Linked DNA regions of Mus musculus: regions 2, 3, 4, 5 and 6 are each reported to be linked to region 1. The links are microRNA targets in miRTarBase. Many come from high-throughput screens and were not tested one by one. Region 1 holds a microRNA gene; each other region holds the end of a gene's coding sequence.

The links. Region 1 holds the annotated microRNA mmu-miR-203-3p (GUGAAAUGUUUAGGACCACUAG, at 921-942, opposite strand). A microRNA usually pairs through its seed, bases 2 to 8, with sites in the 3' UTR of a target mRNA and lowers its output. Matches are read on the target gene's strand: a 7mer-m8 pairs with bases 2 to 8, a 7mer-A1 pairs with bases 2 to 7 and ends in A, and an 8mer does both.
Region 2: miRTarBase lists Stxbp4 as a target of mmu-miR-203-3p. Seed matches in the 3' UTR shown: 8mer at 224-231.
Region 3: miRTarBase lists Ung as a target of mmu-miR-203-3p. Seed matches in the 3' UTR shown: 7mer-A1 at 592-598.
Region 4: the mRNA of H2bc21 is a reported target of mmu-miR-203-3p. Seed matches in the 3' UTR shown: 8mer at 1,720-1,727 and 7mer-m8 at 869-875.
Region 5: miRTarBase lists Myd88 as a target of mmu-miR-203-3p. Seed matches in the 3' UTR shown: 7mer-m8 at 1,491-1,497.
Region 6: miRTarBase lists Ptchd4 as a target of mmu-miR-203-3p. Seed matches in the 3' UTR shown: 7mer-m8 at 166-172.

Annotation. Positions count from the first base shown.
Region 1 is chr12:112,128,746-112,131,868 of GRCm38, reverse strand. It overlaps Mir203 (microRNA 203), which reads right to left and starts at 989; the gene lies at 914-989. Gm51289 (predicted gene, 51289) reads left to right here and starts at 923; the gene lies at 923-982.
Region 2 is chr11:90,477,796-90,480,918 of GRCm38, forward strand. It overlaps Stxbp4 (syntaxin binding protein 4), which reads right to left. Exons shown (of 18, transcript NM_011505.2): 18 at 1-2,919. The coding sequence ends at 2,805. Among named protein-coding and RNA genes, the nearest start is that of Gm34850, 6.5 kb to the left of the region's middle.
Region 3 is chr5:114,138,149-114,141,271 of GRCm38, forward strand. Ung (uracil DNA glycosylase) reads left to right here. Exons shown (of 6, transcript NM_011677.2): 6 at 88-1,173. The coding sequence ends at 228. Among named protein-coding and RNA genes, the nearest start is that of Ung, 8.6 kb to the left of the region's middle.
Region 4 is chr3:96,221,097-96,224,219 of GRCm38, reverse strand. It overlaps H2bc21 (H2B clustered histone 21), which reads right to left. Exons shown (of 1, transcript NM_178214.4): 1 at 482-3,123. The coding sequence starts at 3,054. The coding sequence ends at 2,674. Among named protein-coding and RNA genes, the nearest start is that of H2bc21, 1.6 kb to the right of the region's middle.
Region 5 is chr9:119,334,612-119,337,734 of GRCm38, forward strand. Myd88 (myeloid differentiation primary response gene 88) reads right to left here. Exons shown (of 6, transcript NM_010851.3): 5 at 2,724-2,899; 6 at 1,323-2,288. The coding sequence ends at 2,745. Among named protein-coding and RNA genes, the nearest start is that of Myd88, 3.8 kb to the right of the region's middle.
Region 6 is chr17:42,503,448-42,506,447 of GRCm38, reverse strand. It overlaps Ptchd4 (patched domain containing 4), which reads right to left. Exons shown (of 3, transcript NM_001355270.1): 3 at 1-3,000. The coding sequence ends at 2,533. Among named protein-coding and RNA genes, the nearest start is that of Opn5, 110 kb to the left of the region's middle.

The DNA.
Region 1 (3,123 bases):
TCCCACCTCTGGCCGTCTCCTGTACTTGCCTGGCATGCACACATGCAAAGGATGGGTACCTCTCCAACGTGCCATCAGGACACAGGGACTCATCCAGTGGGAAATGCTCTGACCCGCCTCAAATTCAGTCTAGGCTGTCCAGTGGCTCCCATATTTGGGCCAAGGAAGCTGGGATAGGAGGAGGCCCTCTTTCCCGATGTTGCTATGTTGTCGGTTTAAGGGTCCAGGCATCCATTTCTTTCCACACAACCCCATCTGACAGGGCCTGACCACCTGGAGGTGGAAATGCCAAGTCAAGCAGACTTTGCTCAGAGCCACTTACAGTTTCACTCAGACCTCTCCCATGGGTGCACTCATCCAACAGCTGAGCCTGAGGCCCCAAAAGATCACCCTGGCTCAACTCTGCATCAGGACTGGGCCTGTCCCCACTACCACTCTTCCAGCCCGTGTCTGGCCCTAGAAGCTGTCCATTCATACAGCACACACTCACAGGATCACTACCCCAGCCTGGAAAAGGGAGAGCTCCCGCAGAAGAATTCTCAGCTCAACAAGATGACTACCAAGGGCTCGGCAGCCTCAGCCCCAGTGGCCACTCTCACGCTGGAGCAAAGAATGCCCCTTGACCCAGAGGTCAGGCGGCCGGCTCCTGCCAGAGGTTCGGTGGCTTTGGACAAGGGTGGATCAGGAGAGAATGAAGGTGAGGCGCACGTGTCAGCAGTGTGGGCGAAAGTGCAGGCTGCTGTGCAGGTCCAGGGCCAGCGTGCGTCCCGGGTCGTCGCTCTGCACTCCTGCCAGGCTGCGGGACTGCACGAGTCTCGGCGATCCGGGTGCCCCCACCCCACCCCCGCGCCCCTCTCAAGCCGACCTTGGCCGTCGGGGCCGCCCCGTCGCTGCTGTCGTCGCCGCCGTGCGCGCCGGGTCTAGTGGTCCTAAACATTTCACAATTGTGCTACAGAACTGTTGAACTGTCAAGAACCACTGGACCAGGCGCGCCTGCACACAGAAGTTCTGCACAGCCCGGAGCTCCGGAGCCACAGCTCAGCGCCCTCCTGCGACCCGGCCCGCGTGGCCGGGCTGCACTCTGTGCGGCGGCAGCCGGCGTGCCTGCGCCTTTTATGCGTCTAGGTCGCCCCGCTCGGCGCCGGAACGCGCCAGCCGCGCTGGCCTGACCGGTTTTTCCAGGCCCGCGGGTCGCGCGGCGGGTCGGCCCGAGGCCCCGGGAGCTGCTCCGCGTGCTCGCGCGGGGGTGGCCCTGAGTCACCGGCCGCACCCGGCGCCCAGCTTGGCGCACCTGGCCGGGGTCGACGCAGGGGCCGCGCCCGCTGGAAGCCCGAGAGCCGGCTTTGCAATGCTCGCCAAGGGGCCACGCCGGCGGGGCACGCACCGAGCCCCACGGGCGGCGCGGGGGCGGGAACGGACACGCCCGCACCGCGGACTCTCTTCAAAGAGAACTCCGTGGGAGGGGAAGGAGGGAACAAAGAGAAAGTGAAACTGGGTGGGGGGGCTGCGGCGAGTTTCTGCTTCCCAGACCTGGGCCTCTCGGCGCTCGGAGGGGGCGGGGCGAGCCCAGTCCTGGGTCCTGGGTCCTTGTGCCATGTACCAGGGACCTTGCCCGCAGTCCAAAGGGCCCTGTCTGCTCCGCACCTGCAGGCGCCCTGCCCTCTTAGTCACCGAGCCCTTAAGGGTTCCCTTCCAGTGCAGTAAGGACAGTGTTAAAGGAAAAGGAGAGCGATTGGAATCAAACTTGAGCCCCTGAGGACCAGAAGGCTGTCATAATGCATTCAAGTTCTGGCCAGCTGGCCCAAGGAACACCAGTGTCTTCTTTTCCGGGGTGCCACAGACTGGGCCAAGGCAGCAGGAGGAAGCCTCTAGACCTTTCACTGATGGCGCTGTCAAGTTTAACTTTTGCATTCGCCTTGTAGGGTGAACAGTGTAGGGTTTTGTGTGTGTGTGTGTGTGTGTGTGTGTGTGTGTGTGTGTGTGTGTGTGTGTGTGTGTGTTAATGTGTTTGGTTTTGTTTGTTTGTTTGTTTTGCAGTTGGGTCTTCGGCCTCAGAGAGAAGCCATGCCTTCTCAGAGGTTCCACAGCCCTTGGCAGTGTGCAAGTCTGATTGAATGTGGAGTCAGAGGGGCTGGCATGGAGAACTAGGGAATGTCCACAAAGAGGCATTGCTGGAGTCTTACTCACCAGGCACACACTTAGTCTGGAAGTTGTCTCCTATCTCCGTGAGAAACCCTCAACGGCAAGACAAGAAACAAACAAACAAGCAAACCCCTTTGTACCCAGTCTAGCCTGAGTGGGCTCCTTTCCCATAGCAAATGTGGGCACTATGCCTCAGAGGGGACTTTTGAGAGGCAGGTGAAAACTCTGGCTCTCTTGCAACCTGAAATATGACAACCAGAAGGGTAACCTTGCAAGAGATTACTTGTGTATGAGGAGATGGGTGGGGGTGGCCTGGAGGGCTCAACTGGGGAGTCTGATTATAGAATAGAGGGCGCTGGGAACCAGAGGGCGTGACAAAAGGGAGATGTTCCCTAGAGATAGCCCTGGCGTTCAGAGGAGCTGAAGCCTCCCTAGAGGGAAATTACCAGTGTGCAAAACAGCAGTGAGCCTTGCCTGCTGGGGGCAGGGCCCGGCCCTCCTCCACTGTGAGGAGGGCCATAGGGTTCCCCAGCTTATCCAATATCTTATGTCTGGTCTGAGGGCAGCCTGAACCACCTCTGCATGTGCTAACAGGGGATTCCAGGGTTCCTGCAGATGGAAGGATGGCCCAGTGCCCTTTGTAGGAGCCTGAAAGGGACATGCGAGTGTCCCAAGTATCGTGCTTCCTAAAGCAACTTATCTGGGACCCTCAGAGGACCTTATTAATGCAGCACCTGCGTCCCCCCCCCCCAAGCCTTCTGGACGGTGCCTTTGAGGCCATCTGGCATCTGTCTGGTGTGAGGTTGCATCCCATCATCCTTGAGGATCCTGAGAACCGGCCTGGCTGCCAACCCTTGTAGGAGTCCCTCTTACCTGCCCGATTGCTGCCTCCCCCTGACCCTTGTTGCTCATATCTGCAGAACCTGTATGGGGACCTGGGGAAAAGCCTCAGTCAGCCTTCCACAACTGGAAGGCGGGACT
Region 2 (3,123 bases), not on the chromosome of region 1:
ACAACATACCAATTCAAGGGGGAGCTGTTTAAGGGTGGCAGGCTTACCCTCGAGGGGAAATAGTTACTGAAATATTGGTGACGGCAGCTTCCAGAAAGTTAGACGGGCTATTTATCTAACTCGACTTATTTCTACAGAACTTTGATCTCGTTTTTGAAAGGAAAAGAAACTATTTTTAAAATTTAGAAGTTAACAAATTCTGACTTTCAAGATCATTTTTATTTTGAAATGGTTAGCTGTAGCTCTGCTTTGCCCTGGTGACCAGAGTGCTGGTCACACCGCTGGTAGCTACTGAGCATCCCAAGGGAACACATGGGTGAGGACATAGGGACTAAAGAATAGTTCTCAATGAGTGTTCGCCTGATTCAGCTAATTCAGAGGCTCAACCTCCTTAGCTGCATTCACATGAGATGCTCAGTTACACAGGAACCTGATGGAATGCTATTTTCTCCTGGAGAATTCCTTTCTTACAAATCGGGAAGTTCTTCGTGACTGAAAGCTGGAGTCCTGCAGGGCTGACTAAATCCAGGAGGCTCTACACCCTGGTTTAAGGAAGCCCTGGGGTCTAAGACTTGCCTCAGATCCAGCATCAACACAAAGGCATGGTGGGATCCTTGGGACCACTTCTTTCTAAACCTCAGCTTTTTCATAAAATTGGAATCACTTTGGGTACCTTCAAGAAGGTACTTGTTGCTGAAATACCAGTACTTGGGAGGTTGAGGCAGGGGGATTGTGAACTCAAGGCCAGGGTGGTATACACAGAGAGTGGCTATCCCAAAAAGACCTCCCAAAAGATGTTCATTGTATACCGAAATGTATGGTATAGAGTGCTCAGTACATAGAGCTATGTGTTTTTATAGATCTTTTTGATTATGTATTTGGTAGAAATAGGGAGGGACTTGATACTAGCAGCAGAGAGGTTGTGAGTGCCACACACACATGCACACATACAGATTAAAGACTGCATGCTTCAGGAGCCCATCTCAGCTTCCCTTACAAACAATTGAGGACACTCTCCAATGCGAGGCAGGAGAATGATCTCCTAACAGGAGTGTGCTGGTGTCACAGCAGAGACGGTCTTATAAAAGCGTGTGAGTGCCTGTTCACACCTCTTTGGGACTTGAAACAGGTCCTTCTGCAGCTGCTCTCAAAGCCACCTACCCCTACCCCGCTTCTCGAAGCATCCTAAGATCCAGACAGCTGTGAGGAGAGGCATACGTTTGCTCCAGCCATTCTGTCGTTGTTAGGGTTCGAGTCTCCTTGTCAGTCTGTATTTGACTTTATGTTCTTCCTCATGAAGGAAAACATGAATCCTAAGTGCATTCAGCTTAAACCCTACATCTTAAATGTATTCAGAGAGGTATGGGTGAGCACGATGCCCATGTGTATTTTCCATATGCATTCCCTATACCAGGTAAAACTCAGCAGAGAATGTAAGGAGCTAGGGTCTGATGCTGACACAGGTGCTGCTCCACTGCAGGAACTCCGTGACTTACTTATAAAGTGGCCCTGAGTGAAGGTTCTTGCACCGTGTTCTTGGGAGCTCTATGCTTGCCTAAGTGATGCTGCGCTGCTTTGCTTGGCTCCTGGCCTCCATCCTTTTACAAGCGCTCCAGCAGTGTTTAAACAAATACCTTTCTCCTGTCAGCTCTCTTTAGATGCTCCTACTGGCTCATGGCACCTAAGCATGGCCATGAGCCAGTGTCTCTAGTCTAGAAAATACAAAGCCCACTGAAAAGTCACAGAGCAGTGTCCTGCTTGGTATCTAAGGGTGGTGGTGGTGGTGGTGGTGGTGGGGTTGGGGCCGCAGAAGGAAGAGAGTGGGTCATGACTCTGAGGTGTCCTCTGGACTGCTGTGGAATGCACAGCTGTGGACCCAGCTGCATCAACAGACTGTAGATACTCTGCTGGGCTGCAATCTCCCTCTGTGGGGACAGTAGGGAGCAGGGCAAAGGCGCCTGGACACGGAATCAGAAGATAAGGTGTGAGTCTCATCCCTGGGATGGGCTGCTCTGTCTCTCTGAACCACTGTTTCTCCAGCTGAAGCCATGAGTAGAACTGCCCTGTAGATCAGCTCAAAATCTATGCTGTTTGGTTTAAGTAAGGTGAGGTTTGAAAGCATTTTTTTTTTTTTTTTTTTCGAGACAGGGTTTCTCTGTGTAGCCCTGGCTGTCCTGGAACTCACTTTGTAGGCCAGGCTGGCCTCGAACTCAGAAATCCGCCTGCCTCTACCTCCCAAGTGCTGGGATTAAAGGCGTGCACCACCACTGCCCGGCTTGAAAGCACTTTATAAATGATAGATGTCTCCTAATAATATAAGTTAGGTGGTGTCCTATTTGGTACAAGTTGTAGTCAGCAGCTAGTGGGACAGCTGTGAGGCAGCCTCCCCTCGCTTTCTCAGAACATTTTTCCTAAGCTGTGGGTTGGGAGGGAGAGTTATAAAAAGGAGTTTGCTATGTTCGTATAACTTTTCAATATGAAGTGTTGATATACAAACCATTGTATCTCATACCAAACAATGAGCTAACATACTGAGTTATAAAGATCTAATTATAAAGAGGTTTATGCATGTAAAATCTGACTATAAATGACTTCAATAAATGCAACTAGATTATTTCCAAAAAAACTACTGTAGTGGCAACTGATCTTTAACATGTACACGAAAATACCACACTTGCGACTTGACACCCTGCCTGGTGCACGTGCTGGATTCCTGTGTCTCGGGGTGTGGTGGCTTGTGTCTGGTTGTGGACATGGACTGAGAAGCCAGAGGACTCTGCTGCTCCATTTCCCATGGAAACCCATCAGCTTTTCGGGTCTGTTAGCTCTCTGGGACAGTCCTCTTCACTCTCCTCTGCACAGGACAGGTTCAGGGCGCTCATCACGGGGTGGATCCAGGACGTGGTCTGTGTCACGTGGCTTGGGAAGAACAAGGGGTGCAGATTAGCATGTGAACAGCTCTCTTTCTACGTAACGGAACACGTATTGATTCTGGGGACTACCTGCTTCGACCCAGTTGTTGGCCCCTGGGACAGGAAGCAATTAGAACCAGATCCAGTAGTGTTAAGAAGGCTTGGAGAGGTTTTAGGGTCTTTTATAACCATGAATGAAGATGAACATATC
Region 3 (3,123 bases), not on the chromosome of region 1:
GGCATACACACACCTTAGGTGGGCGGGGCGGGGAGTTCAGGGCTGGCTGGAGGTGTGGTGACCGCTTTACACTCTGACCTTTTACAGAAGCGTCACCATGTCCTGCAGACAGCTCACCCCTCCCCGCTGTCGGTGCACAGAGGGTTCCTGGGATGCAGACATTTTTCTAAAGCCAATGAACTGCTCCAGAAGTCTGGCAAGAAGCCCATCAACTGGAAGGAGCTGTGACCCGCCCACCCGCCCACAGGCCGCATCTGTCCACAGCGGTGCTTTCAGCTGCCGCCGCAGCTTTTGCTGGTTAAGTTCTAAGTTCCTTGTGTGAGTGGAGAAATGACACGGATAGATCTCTATAGGACCATCATGAGCCAACCAGGACACAGAAACTGCAGCTCTGGCAGGCAGAACCTCTTGCCTGGCACTAGGTTTGAACTCTCCAGGCCCGGCCAGGTGGCTGTTGAGACACACCTACTTCTCAGACCAGCGGACACACCCTCGGTCCCGTGTGCTGCTCTGGGGTGGGAGGAAAGATCTGCACCTTTGGACCAGCAGTTTGGTGCCTGCTGCTGTCCGCTTTATCCTTTAGAGTTAGAGATTTCAAAGTGTGTGTGTGTGTGTGTGTGTGTGTGTGTGTGTGTGTGTGTGTGTGTGCTTCAAAAGGCCCTTTTGTCTGGAAAGGAACCCTTGGGTGTTGGTGAGTCCTGAGAAGTCTGGCTTACAACTGAATGAGCTTCCTGATCACAAAGGGGGCGGGGTTCTCCCTGGGTTCACAGTGGCCGCTCTCCACCCTGCGTCTTGCCTTTGCCTTTGCAGGCTCCGAAGTTGAGCGAAGCAGGAATGGGATAGATTTGTTTTTAAGTGAGGGTGGGTGGGTTTCCTGGTGGCGGTGGAGTTGTTTCCTCCTCTCTGCAGACAGCAGACTGCCGCGCTTGGTGTGTGTGGTGCTGGGGATCTAACTCCAAGGTGCTGTTTCTTAGGGGCTGAGTTCACACAAGTTGTCTTTCTGCAACACTGGAGAACGTTATTTTTTTTTACAAGGTAGGCAGGTACAGTAATTTCTTTTTCATGCTTTTCTGAAAGACAATCTTCACTGAGTTTACAAGCTGGATTCCGTGAGTCCAGCTGGTTAGAGCCGTGGCCTGCCTGACCAGGCTAATAAAAGATGGTTGACAATTGGCGGTGTGCCGACTATTCTTCAGTGTTTCACAAGCCCGAGCTCCTGCTGTCACCATGGCTACCACTGATTGCAGGAAGGGCGACTGTGTCCTTGCGCCCTGCTTGTAGCTCTCTGTGGTTCCACCCACTGCCCGCCAGCAGCTTGCTGCACTGCTGCCAAGGACTGGTTGGCCAGAGTAGGGGATCTGCTGGGACCCAAAGGGACAGCTTCCTGACGAGGAAAGTCACTTCTTTGGGGGTGTTGTTGGCTTGCCCATCCATCCTTGCCAACGTCTGCCCTGTCCTGTGAGCTTCTAGACTCTTCCCTGGGAATATGAAGTTCAAGTGTGACTCTGACCTGTTGGTTTGCTGTTTAGGCCTGGGTTGCTGAGTTCCAGCATACAAAACACACAGCCTTTACATTTTTATTGAACCTTAAGCAGCACAAAAGCTGGGCAGCTGCCTACCTTCTGTGCTGTGAGAATCTACTTTCCTACCAATAACCCCGAGTTATTACTATGTTTCATCTGGAATGTTCTTAACTCCAATTGGCCAGCCCCCAGGGCCATGCACACAGAACAGAAGAAACTCATGTTTCACAGGCTTGGGGGGGGGGTGGGAGAGGAGGAGGGAGAAGTTGCCATGGGTCATGCCAAGAGTCAAGAGAGTGTATATGGTCCTGTAGGCATCTTCATTCACCAGTGGGTATTAGCTTGGGGGCCACACTGAACATCACAATAGACAGTAAAAGACCCTCAACAGCGTTTGTGAGGAAGAAAGCAAAGTGCACCAAGGGACGGGGTGTAGCTCAGTGTGCGACGTCTGCACACCAGCAGGTGCGAGTTGTAGAGAGCAGCTATGTTAACAGTAGGGTTTGACATTGTAGACCAGGCTGGCCTCGAACTCAGAAATCAGCCTGCCTCTGAGCCCAGGGTGGCACCACACAGCACGCAGGCTGAGCCTCCTACAGCAATCAGAAAATGTATAACTGGCTTGCCTGCAGCCTGATCTTATGGGAGCATTTTCTCAATTGAGGTTTTTCTCGCAGGTGACCCTTGATGCTGTCAAGTTGACGTGAAGTAAAAACTAGCCAGCACACCCATGCGCAGACAGGTGGCTCAGTGGTTTAAAAGCTCCTGCTGATCTTCCAGGGGACTCAGTTCCCAGCACTCAAGCCAAGTGGCTTGGAACCTCTAACACTTGAGCTCCAGGGGAGATGGCGCCTGGATACCTGTACTCAGGTGCACACACCCACTCAGGGACTTGTGGAACAGAATAAAAACATCTTGGGCCAGGCAGTGGTGGCACATGCTTTAATCCCAGAGACCGACTTGGGAGACAGAGGCAGGCTAATTTCTGAGTTCGAGGCCAGCCTGATCTACAATGTGAATTCTGCCAGGGCTATACAGAAAAAAAACAAAAAATTCTTAGAACACAGAAGGGACTGGTGGATAGATGGCTCACTGAGGGGGTGCTGAGGACTTGAGTTGGTACCCGAGTCCACATAATGGAAACAGCTGGTGTGTTGTTTTATGAGTGCACACATAAAATAGATGGTTCATATGGAAGTGGCTGAAGAGGGCTTGGCAGAAGAGGACCCGGGTTCCATCCCAGCATTCATAGCGCATGGTTCACAGCTGTATGTCACACCAGAGAATACAACACCTGGACTCACCTGTCTTGTGTGGACATAAGCATCTATACACAGCTTAGAATAATAAAGTGAAATGAGTTAGTTGGGGGCAGGGGACTGGTAAAGACTGATGGGCAGGGGACCAGCAGGTAGGTAGAGGGCTCCTGCCAGGCCTGACCTGAGTTCCAGACGTTGGACTCACAAGGTAGGAAATCTGCTGAGCCCCACAGACCGTGTGTGGCATATGCACACAACTACTACACCACAAAAAGTGTTTTAAAAGTTTATAAGGGTGTGGTGATGAATGTCTTTATCCCATCACTTGGGAGGCCGGGGCT
Region 4 (3,123 bases), not on the chromosome of region 1:
TTAGCTATAAAACGGGAGATGATAATGGGACTTACTCCATAAAGTTCCCAGTGAAGATCAAATGAGCCAATATTTTGAGAGGGCTTAGAACACTCCCTAGCACAGGTGTTGGCTAAACTACCAGGGATTCTATTTCACGCTCTCTTGTTTGTAATACTTTTTATTTGTGGTCATTATTTCTCAATCTCGAGGCATTAACAATGGCCATGCCGTAGATATTCTAACCCCAATGCACCTCTGAAGTAATGCCCAGCTAGAAGCAGGTGTGTGCTTTAATGTACTGGGGGTTGAACCTAAGGCCTCAGGGCGTTCTGGCCAAACCTTCCGAGCTACACCCCTAAGCTCTGACTAATGGCTTATAAATCCTTCAAATCAAAGGCACCCAGCTTTTCCACAAGCCCAACCACAAATGGCTATATCTACTCATTTTATTTTTTTTTTGAGAAAATTAATTGCACAGAAAACAATACAGCAAAGATTTGAAACTAATCGGTAACTTTATTAATAATAATAACAGTGTCTACCCACTTGAAAATGCACATGCAGTGAATGGATTTATTCGATCTATGACAATGTTTGGAACTCTCTTTTGGATCCACAAAGCTCCTGCAATCAGCTCCAATAACCCTTACCACAAAGCAGAATTGAGAAAGCAATCAGACCATCAAGAATCTTCACCAACAAAATCAAGACTTCAAAGGAAAAACTCAGTATGCTACACTCCCCACAAAAGAAAACCAAGGCCGTTGTCTTCAGGTAGGAGACAAGAGTGGATGGTATTGGTGCAGGGGTTGGCCTACGGACCTCCCTATTTAGCTTCTACTACCTTCACTATTCGCTCCATAACCTACCTATCCTGTAGACCCTCTGAAATGTAAATGATTGGGACAATTGTAAATTGGAAGTTCATCTTAGTAGAGGATAGAAAAATTAAGAATGGGGATGGTGGCAGTAAAATGTCTCTCTCCCAAAGGCCAATGCTCCATTTAATACAAACCCAAGAGCTTCCTCTAAATTGTCAAAATTAAGGGAACTATTACGGCCAGTCCCTAGTAAACACACACACACACTCGAACACAAACACATGGCTTACTGGAGTTCAATGGCTGGGGTTCAATGGCTGTCACCCAACGGAAGGTCCAATAATCCAGTAGTTGTTCAGTCCACAAGGCTGGGTGTCTCAGCCGGTCTTCAGTGTATGGCAGAATCCCAAGTAAGTAGGGCTCTAATGCCAGTTCAGGAACAGACTTGCCATCTCCAGCAAGCAGGCAAAGAACAAGCTTCCTTCTTCCATGTCCTTAATAGAAGCTGCCAGCTGGCGTGGCCCAGATTAAAGGTGGGAAAGAACCAGATTAAAAATGGTTCTTCTCATTTCAAATTATGGAACTAAGAAAAAATAAATCCCTCACAGGTGCACCCAGCTGCTTGGGCTAAGAACCAAGAACAGCTACCACAGTAACGATAACTAAAGACAAATTTGGGAAAAAAATCCCCAAAACATTTCCTTTCCAACGTGTCTTCACATACATCAAATGGACAAGGCCTCTGCCACCCCCGCCTTAATATAAAAATTAATTCAATAAGTAATTTTAAAAAGCAGTGATATAGGCCCCTTGGTCTTGCAAACTTTATATGCCTCAGTACAAGGGAACACCAGGGCCAAGAATGGGTGGGTAGGGGAGTGTTGTGGGGAGGGTAAGGGGGACTTTGGGATAGCTTTTGAAATGTAAATGAAAATACCTAATAAAAATATATTTTAAAAAAAGCAGTGGTATAAAAATGAATTCAATAAGTAATTTTAAAAGTAGCATCTGCTGTGGTTGAGGCACTGGTGGGCTCTGGAGGTATAAAACTGTCAGACCCAGCTTGATCAGCAACAGTGTAAATAAGAAAGCAAAGGGAACTTGAGACAACTTCTCCTGGAGACACGACAGGAGGGAAAAAGCTAATTCCTGCGTGTGTGGATTCGAAAGATCGCTTCATGAGCCCAGAGAAGCAGCAGTAGCCTGCGGTAATCTGGCACTGCAGAGGTTAAAGCAAAGAATTAAAAGGAAAAACAAAAACAGAACAAAACAAACCAAGCAAGCCTCGAACAGGGATTTTAAAGCCTGATAGAGAACCATAACCGACTTCTACCAAATCGGCAGCAACGTGGAACATTCGTGTTTGTAAATCAGTAAATTAGAGGGACACCACCCTAAGTACCCCGTAACCGCTGGTGCCCAGGACACAAGTAAAGGGACAGAGCGGTTTCAGTTGTAGATGGCTGGTACCCAGCATTCGCCGACACAGTCTTAGCTGTGTCCTGGAGCCCTCTATTCGCCAGGGTAAGGAAACCATCTCACTTTAAGTCGACAAGTAAATGGTACCCCAAAAGCCTAGAACACGGAAACCGGGCCCAGAGACCCACCTCCATTATCCTAGTCTAAAAAGAACTCCAAGAAGCTAAGTAGGGTGCAGCAAACTGCAAACAGATACCCACAGGGGAACTCAAAACCACAAAGGCTTAAAACTTCTGAAGTGTACCCTTTTCAAGACCCTTGGAGTAACTTTGGAATAGGAACTAGAAACTAATGCAAGTGGCAAAGCTCTCTTCTGATTTGAGCGGGTGACTCACTAAAAGAGACTTTAAAAGATCAAAGGGGCCAGCGAGCGCCTCATCCAGGGAGGCCTCTACTTGGCGCTGGTGTACTTGGTGACGGCCTTGGTGCCCTCCGACACGGCGTGCTTGGCCAGTTCTCCGGGCAGTAGAAGGCGCACCGACGTCTGGATCTCCCGCGATGTGATTGTAGACCGCTTGTTGTAATGCGCCAGGCGAGAAGCCTCGTTTGCTATGCGCTCAAAGATGTCATTGACAAACGAGTTCATGATGCCCATGGCCTTGGACGAGATGCCGGTGTCCGGGTGCACCTGCTTCAGCACTTTGTACACATAGATGGAGTAGCTCTCCTTGCGGCTGCGCTTGCGCTTCTTGCCATCTTTCTTTTGCGCCTTGGTGACAGCCTTCTTGGAACCCTTCTTGGGAGCCGGGGCAGATTTGGCCAGTTCAGGCATGATTAAAAGCAAACAGTGGAAAACAGTCTAGTAAGTAGAAAATCAACCAGGGACCCGGAGGACTTGAGC
Region 5 (3,123 bases), not on the chromosome of region 1:
CCAACATAGTTCAGTCTAGCACTCCCTGCTGCCCACATGGAAGCCAGGGCCCCGCTGCAGCCTGCACGCTATGGCTGCGGTCATCTCCCCTGAGCCCCACAGGTCTCATCTGACTGTTCTAGTCTCCATCCTAGGCATGCCTCTCGATCAGATCTTTTCCTTTAGTATGTCTCCCAGCATAGGGTTTACCTTGTCTCCTTCACCACCTCTCAGAGCCCCATCTTCAGGACATGGAGGATGCGTGCCTTTGGTCCAGCCAGCATACCTGCTGCCCAAGGCTCCACTGCCTGGTTCCTGGGTGGTTCTGACTTTCTGCATTTGTATCTTGCTTCTTCTACTGCTGTCTAGTTTCCTTTAGATCAGAGCATGATTAGTTTCTATATTCTGCCTTGGCCTGGCCCCAGGGAACAAACAGATCCTCAAAAAAGCAAGTTTCTGAAATGCAGGGGTGGTTGGAAATACATGAACTTTCAGAGATGCAGAAACAAGAAGTGTTCCTTTAAAAATTAAAGTACTGCGTGTGGTGACACATACATCTTTAATTCCAACACTCAGGAGGCAGAGGTAGGCAGAGCTCTGTGAGTTTAAAGCCAATCTGCTCTACATAGAAAGTTCTGGGACAGCCAGACTTACATAGTAGAGACCTTACCTCAAAAACAAAACAAAACAAAACAATTTTTAAAACTTTTTTTTTTTTGGCAGAATTCCCTGTTTCCTAAACTGTAGGGCTCAAACAGTCCTCCTGCCTCAGTCTCACAGGTAGGTAGAACCACAGGCACACTACCTTACCTGGCTTAAAAACTCTCTTCCTTGAGATAATTACAGATCCCGAGGAAGTTGGAAAGGTGATCCGAGTTCTTACACTCCTCACACAATCTCCTTCAATCTGAAGACTACAAATGTAGCATCAGCATTGTGTGTATAGATAGCACTTGGTCATCCAATGGCTGGTGTGACTCCATAATCAAGGGACAGATGGTAGTCTGAGAATGCAGCTCAGAAGACATACTTTGCCTAACATGGATCCTGGGTTCAATCCCTGAGACTACATACCAGGGCCAGGACATAGTTTAAGCTAAAAAAGACTCAGGCTGCTGGGTAGGAGCAGGTTTCTGGAGCTGATGACGATACCTTTAGCTCCATCTGGTCCCCGCTGAAGCCCAAGCCCGTGAGGCCAAGACTCAGCCATCTGGAAGCCCAAGGCTCAGCCATCTAGAAGCCCTAGGGGGCACCACATTATAGAGCACTTTCTCTTATACTAGAAACTCATAGCCTACCTCTCTGCTTCCAAACACCTTAACACACATACCGTCAGTCACAAGTACACTTTCTCAAAATAGAATACTTTTTATTATAAATTCACACACAGAAGTACAAAGTACAAACACGAGCCCTTCTTTTCTTTATTGACATTCCCATGAAACCTCTAACACAGGTGGAGGAGGTTTACACTTGACCCAGGTTGCTTTAAAATGCTCAACATCAAGCAGTGAAATGCCCCATGAGACCGTGCACAGAGGCCTCATTCCTCCCCCAGACACTGAGGGGAGACTCACTTTCTTGGGGACTCAGGGCCCTGGGGTGTACCCTGAGAGGGACCATGACATTGCCTCTATGGTAGAGAACGTGAAAGGAATAAGAAGATGCAAACCTCGCTGCTGGGGAGAAAACAGCTGAGCCTGCAGCTGCTTTGTGGGGCGAAGCCAAACAGCTTCTCCTTTTTATCTTCAGCTTACTAAGGGCCCAAATGCTATCATGTTTGGGGCCTTCCTAGACTTTGCTTTCAACAGGTAGAGAAAAGAGAGGAGAAATCCACAGTGCCCCCAGATTTTCCTTCTTTTCTGGGGGTAGGGGATGGGGGAGGTAGGCTCTCATGTAGCCCAGGCTGACCTTAAACTAGGTGTGTTGCCAAGGATAAGCTTGAACTCCTGATTCTCCTGCCTCTACCTCCCAAATGCTGAAACTATAGGCCCGTGCCACTACCTGTAGCAAAGGCACCCCACTTTTGTCCAGGGAGATGGCCAGGCCCCCTTGATGATAGAACTCTTCCACTCAGCTATCCTTGGGAGCTGTCCCAAAGGAAACACACATATGCAGATGCCTGTGTGTGCGAGGAGGCATGTGTGTACTGAGGTGCGTGCACAGGCATGGGTGGCTGGGAGGAAAGGCAGTCCTAGTTGCTCAGGCCAGTCATCATTGAACACGGGTTGAGCCCAGGGGAGTCAAAGATGTAGACAGGACGGCATCAGAGAATCTGGCTCCGCATCAGTCTCATCTTCCCCTCTGCCCTGTGGGAGGAAGAAAGGGAGTTTAAGGTTGGCAGGTCAAAGCAGCTGTCCTGGCAAGCCTGTGGTGCTCCTTAACAGCCAGTGTGTGCTCCTTCAGCTCCCCTTCAGCCCACACTGGGTCTCCTAGGATAGCCAGAAGAGTGCCTCACTATTTCCCTGCCTGATCTCCATATCCTGTTTCTCAGGAGGAGACCCTGAGGCCAAAGATGTCTGAGATGTAGCTCAACTAGTCCTTCGCTTAGACTCATGCAGCCCTGATAAACACTGTCCTGGCTGGCAACCCGGCAAGTCATAATGTCACTTGCAGTCACTGGTTCCGTAAGGACTTGAGAGATGACATCTGGCTACTGTAGATGTCTAGGGATAGACGGACCACAAGCTCCCCACTACAGTGTCAAAGGAGGCAAGCGGAAGAACACAGACAGACTGACATACCTAGGGCTCCCAGGGTCATCTTCAGGGCAGGGACAAAGCCTTGGCAAGGCGGGTCCAGAACCAGGACTTGGTGCAAGGGTTGGTATAGTCGCATATAGTGATGAACCGCAGGATACTGGGAAAGTCCTTCTTCATCGCCTTGTATTTAATAGGAATCAGTCGCTTCTGTTGGACACCTGAAGGCCAAAGGGTGTGGTATTAGGACCACGTGGGGCCCTAGGGTGGGACAGGCTCAGTCCCTAAAGCACGGGCTAACACCAGCTCTCCACCAACCAGGTATCCATGATACATATCCACTACATAAGGAAGTACACAGGTCCGTCCTCAGAGATCTGTAGTGCTTTGGTTTTGCATTCCTGGACTATCATCCTAAGGCTATATCTCTACTCTCTCTTTGACC
Region 6 (3,000 bases), not on the chromosome of region 1:
TATAAACAAGTCTTTCCCCATCCAAGTGCTTTGAGAGAGACTGAAACTGGTGCTTTGGCATAATATGCAGCGGTACTTCCATGTATTTGGCAGTTTGCAAGCTTGCCAATTAGCTTGTCAATCTTTTTGTTGTTGTTGGGTTTTTTTTTTTTTTTTTTTTGTATCTGAAATGGTATGGCAATTATAAAACACAAGTAAGTTATCTTTAAATAAACAATTGGTGAAACAATGGAGTTTCACTGAATATGGACAGATATGAAGTGATATGGAATCCTCAGCTTCTTAGTGGCTGTCTTTACAAGCAGGTGGGAGTGATAGAAATTTTCATAAACGATGAGTAACTTTGAAAGAGGAATTCTGTTCTCCAACTGCAAAAACTGCTTAGAAAATTCGACTTCAAATATGAGATCATGGCCTGGAGGTCAACTGTCCAAATGTCTGTTCCCCCTAGGACAAAAGTTCTTGCAATGAAAGGCTGGCGTTACCTGTGACATGGCTTTACAGATACAGTGAAAATATCAAGTGCGGTTATGGGAAGTTATGGTCCCTCCTTAATTCTATAGCTATTGTATCCACATCAGGGGAGACATTGAAACACAGCAGTTTTAAAGTAGAATAGAACAAATGTCATTCAATAAACTGAAGTTTCATTTAAATGATGTCCATTTAAAAATTTGCATCATTTAGAAGAGCAGTACTGTCTATCAGCATTATTTCCTAAAACTTAAAAGGAATGGAATTTTCTAAGAGTTTTAGTTGTGTTTTGTTTTTTAAAGCCAATAGTATTGTTAATGCATTTAAATTCTACAACCCAAATTGGTAGGAAATGTAAATGTTCCTCAGGAAAAAGAGCTTCTTAGCAGGATGTGTAATCATTAGGCATTTGTTTTATTTTACCCAGAAATGAATCATCCCTTAGGTTCCTTATTTGGCATGGAAAAGGAATTTTCTAGTAAGGTTCTCCAACATGAATAGCAGCCTTAGTCCTTGAACGCACCCAGCAGACTGAGTACTTGCCTGGGGCATAGTTTTCAACACTAACTCAAACAAACAAACGAACAAACAAACAAAACCAAAAAAACCCAAAACATTTACCTCAATACTTTTTCTTTCTTTCTTTCTTTTTTTAATGTAAGGACTCCAGGTGCAATTACACACAGTTAATATGGCACCAGTAGAGAGCTGTGCTTGCCATAGGAGATTACTTTCTAGTTAATGAAGACAATGATACTCCAAGAAGCTACAAAATGATGCTGCAGGGGTTATGGTGACCACCATCATAGTGATCATGGTCTTGGTTAATGCTCCCAGACTTATTCCAAGGAACACATTAGAGTCTGTAGAGTTGGCAAGTTTTTCTTAAACAACAGGCTGTTTGATGCCGAGATGGTGAATGGTAGATGGCTCATTTTACTCGCTACATTTTCCAGACATTTTCTTTTTCCTGTGTTAATTGCCACCTGTGCCACAACAGTGTATTTTCACCATTTAACTTAAGAGCTCTTAACTACGAAATGGTATCTCATCATTTCTTTCCATCTCTCACTTACACTGTGTACCCTTACATATGCATGCAAAAACAATGTGCTTAAAGGGCTCATTTTTTTCAGGTGGATGAGATATCCAAAAGTAGCCATGCTGGCCTTCCAAATACACAGAAATGTTAAAAGCTAATGACAAGCTATCTCAACTACTTTAGATTCTAAACGTTTGTTCACATGCTAATTAACTCAAATACCTTTTGGAGTTTTGGTGAAGTCATCCCAAACGTAGGATCTCAGTGACCAACAACATGATAGGTAGAATTTAATGGATTCAAATTTCTGTCTATCTTGTTATCACACAGTTGATAATTCTCTTGCTATTTAGACAGTTGAGTTGATTTCAAGTGACCAATTATATATTTTGTATCATCCCTAATGAGGTTATATATTTGACTAATGTTGATTTGACTTTTTGAGAAAGGCCAGCCTATCTGCAAATGAACATCTTCTTTCATCCAACCACCAACACACACTCAAGACATATTATGTATATGTATACTTATATGTACACACAAAGTGGATTGGGAGGTCCGGTCCTTTGGTTTATACAGGATTAAATGTGTACTTCCCATGTGCATAGGTTTCCTTTGATTGATCTGTTCATGAAAACATGAAGTGACATGACAAATTAGACATTTCTTTTTGTACTTTCCCCTATCTGGAGACCACCTATTCTCTCTTCTCCATTTCTTCTAAGAATCTTTAGATCTTTCGGCCTTCCATCTGACCACACCAATCCATCCATTTCTCAGAAAAGCTCTAAGATCAATGTCTGGAGAATTATCTCTCATGGAGCACAAGGTTGTAAAGAACTTCACCTCCTTTTATTATCTCTTCCATCAAAAGAAGCAGACCCTTGGATGCGTCATGAAAAATGCACTCTTGATCTGACCTGCCTTTTTACCCCTGGCCAGCCCAAGCAGCTGAGGTCTGAGCCTTACTAGCCCTGCATCATTGTGCAATACTGGAAAAGAAAAAGTCTCCACCCTCAGACTGTGGTGACGTGATCAGGGTTCTCTTGGATTTCTATGCATTCAATTTCCTCTCTCTCCTTTCGTTTGGCCCGTTTCTTTTTCTTGTGGTGCTTTTTGGAAGGAGGAAAAAAGGTTAGGAACACAGGTAAGATAACAAAACAGTGCAGAAGCGTGCAACCCCCGGTCAGCAGCAAGCATTTGAACAGTGTGAAGGTCAGGTTTGAAGGCACAAAGAGGAGGGGGAGCAACCCAATAAGAAAAGAAGTAATGTTTTGCAAAATGGCTGTCCCATGCTCTTGCAGGGAGCTTTTTATACACTGTGTTCTGGTGTGCTCAGTTGCTAATACAAATGTATAAAGCAGTGGTGCACAGTGGTCAATGGCAAAATTTAAAGTGTAGATAAGGCACAAGATAGAAATGCAATCCATGTCGACATTCCACAACGTCATTAAGCCCAGAACGCCCAGCTCAATTGAGGTGAC